Linked DNA regions of Cricetulus griseus. The protein of the gene in region 2 purifies or fractionates together with the protein of the main gene of each other region. This does not show direct contact. Links are inferred from orthologs where the notes say so. Each region holds a gene or a part of one and is shown on either strand. Other genes may lie near its edges.

Region 1 (3,655 bases), on a different chromosome or scaffold from region 2:
AGGACTTGCTCAGAAAGTATATGCAATTATATATTAAGTTGAAGTCCATAAAATACAATAAATATTCACACTAGCATTATTATACCTAGTTAATGTATTTTTTTAATCACATACAGAAAGAAATTCAGAATGATGAAGATTCCCAAACCAGTTCTGGTTGGACCAAATACAGCAATCAAGAAGAAAGCAAAAATTTTAAGAAAGACTCAGGATCTCTTGAAATGAAAGCTGCTGGAGAGAGCATGTATAGAATCCAGGTAAAGTTTTATGAGTTAAACATTCTCTGATTTTTCGTAAATAATTGTAAGAGAGAGCCCATTTTTGGTAAACCTTGGGATCTGAAAACTAGCATATCAACCTTATATTTTTAGGCCATGAATTGAGCATGATGGAAGTTTTTGTAAGTCTGTGTTTGGGGGCGCTTTGAAATAATGCATATGTGCCTAGAGAATTGTTGAGTTCCTCAAACATGGCATAGTTTCAATGCATGCTAATTACTTAAAACTTCTATATGCTTCATGTGGCACCAGCCTTAGAGGACTTTTCCTCATCTGTGAGCACTCTCTTCATAATTAATCTAAAGTTATCATATAACAGTTTGAAACAAATTAATTTGTATTAACATGGAGAAAAAAACAAAAACACTAGGGCGACTGCAGCTGTTGTGACATGTTTCACAGACATTAATGATAGACAACAATGAAAAACCTCATTGGTTCTACTGAAGAAAAGCTGATCCTCATTTAATACTGTATGTAATAAGTGTATTTATTTTGTTAGTTTATCAGATCAGTTATTCAGTAACTATTTTCTAAACTGAAACATTTTTATGTGTAGTTAGAAACTCATTGTGTTCAAGATAGGTACAATTTAGAAGTTTTTTAAATTTGTAGTCTCTTAAAATCACATGAGGAGTTTAACTAAAGATTAAAATACTTTAGCCTTTTTGCTCCTACTCCTGAATGCAGTGGTATCTGTGTGCCTTTTAAAACTTCCTTCTGTAATCTTGGGTGATGTTTAGTAAGGCTTATTGAATTGGTATGTCTAAAATAGTCATTCCAAATTCAGTTTGAACAGTTTTACATACAGCAAGGAATATTACATACAGTAAGGAATGGAAAATGATAATGTTATCAAAATAGATTTCATTTTATTAAATTTTATTAAATATATAAAAATAGATAAATTTTGCAAAAGATGGGGAAATTATCAAAGTAAATGTAGGAGATTTTACATAAAATTAACAGAAATTTCTCATGTCCCAAAGAAATGAGATAGTAATACTTCATACTCTAAATTAAATAGGCAGGTTATGTAAGTATATCTAGTAAGTTACTTTTTATAAAATGTGGTAAACTAAAGCATATGTTTTCTTAGCCCTTTTTGTATAACTAGAGTGGATTCAAATTCACCTTACATTTTAAATTTACTCTCATGTGTGCTGTATAAAACCTGCCTTTCTAAAATTTTGTGTGACTTCCATTAGTTGTGTTGAACCTATATTAACTCAGTATAATTAATTTTATAATCACACAGAACAAAATGGAAAATCATGACAAAAATATTAATGACAGATTTGTTCTGAGTGAACATCACAATAAAGAAAAATTCAGAGACTACAGAAAATATATGAAATCTGTTAAAAAGAGAAATACATTTAGAAGACATGTACATGAGAATCAGGTAAGTTTTCACAAAAATATTCCTTTTATGTTATAAATCCTTTCTAAATTTACTAAATACAATGTGAGTCATGAAACTTCTTAGGAAGTACTTGTACAGAAGTGTTATAAGACATTTATGCAGCAATTTTAAAGGAAGAAGAATGCCAATTTATCAACTCCTTGGCCAAGGAAAGAATCAGTCTTCCCCAATTTTCAAGCCACCTCTGTGTCATTTCCTAACTGTATCTTTTCCATTTCACATGGAAGTATTCCAAGTATTTCTTATTTTAGAACTTATATTATTTTTCCTTTTGTGTGTGTGTGTGTGTGTGTGTGTGTGTGTGTGTTTTGTTTTAAAGTGGTATTTAGTTTTGCTTGTTAATGAGCATTTATTAGGTCACACTATTTATGGACATTTTCCTCACCTATATGTTTTGTTGTTTGATTGTGTTGCAGTTTTAAACTTCATCCATTTTGTTGTTGTTGTTGACAAGCATTCGGTTTTCTTTTTGTTTCTTTGTGGTTGATTGGTTGTTTTGAGATTATCTAACAGTTCTTGTATAAATAATTAGTATTCTCTTGCGTGACTCTTAGTACACAGGTTTATGGATTTCTCTAGCTGAGAATGTATTCCTAGAAATGAAGTTATTGTCATCAGGACAATATGTCACCTGTTGTTCATGATGCTCTTCTGTTTTTCCAAATGCTTTTTGCTAACATATACACACTTGTCTGTAGGAGAGCTTTTCTTGTGCATAGAGCTCTATTGATCAATGTGTCATGTTTATTTTGTCATCCCCCCCAGCTTATTTGGATTTTGTAACGTTTAATGCATATTCTGATTTGTTTAATTGTGGTAAAATACAGAAAGAAACTAAGAAAAAACATAAGAATGTCCATAAAAGTTACATTTTGAGGAAAAAGAACAGAAAAGAAGATTATTACAAAACTGATGATGAACATGACACAATCAGAAGTACTTTAAAAAAGCATGTGCATTACAGAGATCAGGTGAGACTATAGAATATGTGTTTCTAAGTTTTCTTTTTTTGTAGTCTAGCCAGTGGATGTGCTTAATAAAGATGCTCGCTGTATTAAATTCTATATACTTTTGAACAATTCTTAATGATATACTTATATTTTGCTTTTATATATATTATTTTACTTATATACATTTATTATATTATATACATTATAATATAATTAACTTTGGTCTATAGTAAAACTCTATATTAATATAAATAAGGAAATTTGGCTGACTGTGATTCTTAAATTAAGTTGTATTTCATAAACAAAAAGGAAAAGAAAAAAATGATCTAGAAGAGAGGTAAATTTCTTTTAACTTTTTTTTTAATTTTTGAAATTGTAATATAAATTCAACATGTTTTCCTTCTTCCCTATATATCCCTATTCTTTTCCAAGTTCATGACTATTTTTTTCACCATTATTCAGTAATAATCACACACATATATGTATTCACAGTACATATATATTCCTAACTATAAACTGTTGAGTCCATATAATGTTACTTATTGCATACATGTTTTTATGGTTGACCTGTTGGCACTGGACAAGTCATAGGTGTACTTCTCCCTGGGGAAGAACGTCTCATCCACTCCCACCTTTCCTCAGTTGCCTAAAGTTCTTTCTGTAGGATTGTGGCTCCATGGTGTTTCCCTCATCTACTTTGGCATGTTGGATTGGTGACTTCCTTGTTCAGCTCATGTTTAGACAATCAAGTTGATGAAACTTAATGGGTGTAGCTTCTGATGTTACTTGGAGACACAGCCTCACTTAAACTCTCTGATTCCTCTTACTCTTAAAAATCTTTCTTGCTCCTCTTCCTTCCAAGTTCCCTGAGCCTTAGGTGCATATATTATAGATGTATCCATTGGGACTGGGCTCTACAACTTGGCATATTGATGGCATGTGGGTTTCTGTAGTGGTCCCTGTCTGTCACAAAGAGAAGTTTCCTTGATGTGAGGTAAAGA
Region 2 (3,655 bases):
TTTATAAACGTAGAGAAAATTGGTTGTATTTTCAGTTTTCTTGTAGCATGGCAAAGTACGATTATCTTTGTCAGAACTTGATTAGTTAATTCAGTTAGTGGAATCAAGCCTATATTATATAAATCTAACATTTACCACTTAATCTAAAATATGGAGGCTTTAATACTTGGTTTTGTGATGCCATGTTAGTTGTGCTTTTATTTTCAGGAAACAATCAATCATAGATTTCTTCAAGCCAGCTTCTAAACAAGGTATGCATATTGTTAATGTATTTTTGATGGGTTGTTTTAGAGGTGAAGAGGGCCTCCAAACTTTTTATTATACTGTTCAGAATTGAAAATTATACAATTATAATGAAGATGTGATAAACATTAAGCCATCTGTTCTACATATTTAACAGTTAAAATAATCCAGTTTATAGTGTTGATATTTTTTTATCCTTTTTTTTCCCAAGACAGGGTTTCTCTGTGTAGCCCTGGCTGTCCTGGAACTCACTCTGTAGAACAGGCTGTCCTCAAACTCAGAGATCTGCCTGCCTCTGCCTCCCAGTGTTCATATTATTTTTATTCTCTAGTACAGTAGCTCACAAATAGAGCCTTAGGGAGGTTAGATGATATAGCAGAAGGGCTTTTACTTCATAAAAGGTAAACCTATTTCTTAATTTCTCTTCCATAATGTAATTGGCTTGAATTTTTTAGTAGCTTCAGTACAGTTATAAATTGATAGTTAATAGAAACATTAGTTTACTTTTAATAACATAATTTGTATGTGTTTTAATTGTGGCTGTTTTAGACAAACATATGTTGGATTCTCCACAAAAATCAAACATCAAATATGGAGGAAATGGAGTATCCATCAGTGGGACAGAGCAATTTGAAAGGAAATTATCTTCACCAAAAAAACCCAAACCCAAACGAATGTCATCAGAAGAAAGTCCTATTTTAGAAGCTTTCATGAAAGGTAGGAAAGAGCACCACAAAGATCATGGCGTACATGAATCACGGCAGCCTTGTATGTCAGTCGGCTCCAAATACTTACTCCAAGGAGCAGGTATCTATGCTCCTTCCTCTTACCGATTGTCCAAAGAGGTGAAGACACGGAAGAAAAAACACAGATCTCCAGAGAGAAGGAAGTCACTGTTCATTCATGAAAGTAACAGGGAAAAGAATGACAGAGATCGAGGCAAGACCAGTGAAGACTCCAGAAAGCAGTCCCCGACTACAGAAGGTGACATCTTCAAGAACAGTTCCAGGAGTGTTAGCAGCAGAAGCAGCCTGTCCCGGCACCACCCAGGAGAAAGCCCTCTGGGAGCTAAGTTCCAGTTGTCATTAGCTTCTTACTGCCGAGAACGAGAGCAGAAGAAGTTGAGAAAGGAACAGCAAATGGAACAGAGAATCAACTCGGAAAATTCTCTCTCAGAAACAAGCAATCTTTCCTTAAAATCATCTAGTGTAGGGAAAAAATGTAAGCCAAGGCATGAACACAGTAAACAGAATGATGCTGCACCTGGAAAGAGTAATCTTTCAAATCTGGTATGTACAATAATAAAAGTAGAGCTTTACCACTGCTGTGCCATGGTTAGATCCTAAGTCTAAAGATACTGATCTATAACATTTAAGGAAATGCAGGTGCATAATTTGATCTAACACTGGCTTCATTAGATTTCCTCCAACTACCCTTCATTGAATTCAGTAAATTTCTTTACCTTAATTTTTTCAGACCAGGAGCAAAGATCTTTTCTAATGGAAAGTAAACATTCTTTCAGGCAAGTATAGTCATTTTTAAAGTTAAGATTTCCAAAAAGAGGTGTTTAAGGAATGGCAAATATAAAAGAACAGGAAACAACTTAGAGCAGTGGTCCTTAAAATGTCCTTGGAGCAGTAGTAGCATCAGCAGCACTTGGGAATTTGTCAGAAATGTAGTCTCCACCTAGTAAGAAACAGTGGAGTTGGAGCCCAGGAGTCTTTGGCTTATAAGTCCACAGATAACTGATGTACTCTAAAACTTCAAGAATCACTGTTCCAGATATATATAAATCTTTGATTTATTTTATTTGAATCGGTATGTGGAGAAGCCATCAAATCCTCTGGAGTTGGAGTTACAGGTAGTTGTGAGCTGCCTGACGTGGGTGCTAAGAACTCAAGTTGTACAAGAGCACAAGAACTTTTAACTACTGAGCTATTTCTCCAGCCCCATATACAAATCTTAGATAGTTATGATTTGATTGAGTATGGGTTTTGGAAATATAACTGATGACTTAGAAAACTGCATGTATTTTTTATTCCTATCATTTTTCTTTTGAGAACACAGACTCAGCCTCAAAGCTTTCCCTCTTCCCTAGAAAGTTAACTACACTGGCGTACATAACCCAGTCCTGTCTCAAAAACAAAAACAGTGTAGAACTGGGAATGCAGCTCTGGTGGAGTGCTTGCCCAGTATGTGAAGAGCCCTGGATTGAGTCCTCAACACTGCAAAGAAGTGTAGTGTTGATAAGCTACTATGAAAATTTCAAATCAGATAAACCAAAAACTGGACATTCTAGGAGTGAATGTAAAGAAATCCTAGCATTGTGTATTATTAGAAGGTATTTGTAAATTAGCAGCCTCTTTGCAACAAGATTGTCCTTTTACTACTAATGTTGCTGGTGATCAATAGATGTAATATTTGGTTCATAGCCTAACAGTCTTCAACTATTAATTTTTGAGTTATGAATATAAATTACTATTACCTTGTGAAACATAGACTTCATTTTTGTGGTTTTTTTTTTAGTTTGTTTATTTGTTTTCCCATTTTTATGGTACAGATAGATGGCTGTGTGTGTTTCCCTAGTGCTAGATAGTGCATTCAGGCCTTGTGTGTCCCGACAAGCACTGCTACATCTCTGAGCTACATCTCCGGCCCATACCCTTCTTTTTAAGATCTTTAAAGTTTTCCTTTTCTTTTTAAAGCTACCTCTGAATATAGGTGCTAGATTATTGGTCTAGAAGTCTGTTCAAATGTAAATTCATATTCTTTAATTCCTCATAGGAAAATGGACATCTCTCAAGAAAAAGATCATCTTCAGACTCATGGGAACTTTCAGGTAGGTAGCATCAGACTTAAGCATACAATTTCTAAGTAAGTTTGCATCTTCTTCATATCACTTTTAAAAATAAATTTATTCATATTCAGTTTCCATCCTAGAATTAAATGTCTCAGCTAATAAGAGTTGGGTAAAAATTATATCTCAAAAGAATAATACTCAGAGCTACATATGGTGGCACATAGGAGGATCTAGAGTTTGAAGTCAGCCTGAAATGCATTGAGTAAGATCTGACCTCAAAAACAAACAAACAAAAGTGCTTGAGTTTATTCTTCATAATCTGTTGTCTTGATTTCTCTCTGCCTTCTTCAGGAGTTCCTAATAGTGTGTTTTAACAGTGTGTTCTTTATACTAGTATTGAGTGTTTCACTTCAGAATCCTTAGCTACATCAGGAAACATACTTTGATGTTAGGTTGATGGCACATACGTGTGATTCTAGCACTGAGGGAGAGGAGTGCAAATTTGGGGTAGCATGGGCTACAGTAGGATGCTGTCCCAGAAGGAGCAGCAGCATATACTTGTATTCTTGGTGTACTGTTAAGAATACTTTGTATGAAGTTAAAACAAGATTC

What was found. Proteins that work in one complex are often made in the same cells at the same time.
Region 1: the proteins of Slf2 (region 2) and Slf1 purify together in Homo sapiens (co-immunoprecipitation; 3 studies listed by BioGRID and IntAct, with this or other methods). This does not show direct contact. The link is inferred for Cricetulus griseus from reciprocal best matches to the Homo sapiens genes SLF2 and SLF1.

What each region holds. Positions count from the first base shown.
Region 1 is NC_048595.1:298,138,790-298,142,444, reverse strand, and holds part of Slf1 (SMC5-SMC6 complex localization factor protein 1), read left to right. Parts: intron 1-116; coding exon 117-257; intron 258-1,536; coding exon 1,537-1,683; intron 1,684-2,531; coding exon 2,532-2,675; intron 2,676-3,655. UniProt on the Homo sapiens protein: Plays a role in the DNA damage response (DDR) pathway by regulating postreplication repair of UV-damaged DNA and genomic stability maintenance.
Region 2 is NC_048596.1:16,631,815-16,635,469, reverse strand, and holds part of Slf2 (SMC5-SMC6 complex localization factor protein 2), read left to right. Parts: intron 1-207; coding exon 208-251; intron 252-792; coding exon 793-1,532; intron 1,533-3,027; coding exon 3,028-3,082; intron 3,083-3,655. UniProt on the Homo sapiens protein: Plays a role in the DNA damage response (DDR) pathway by regulating postreplication repair of UV-damaged DNA and genomic stability maintenance.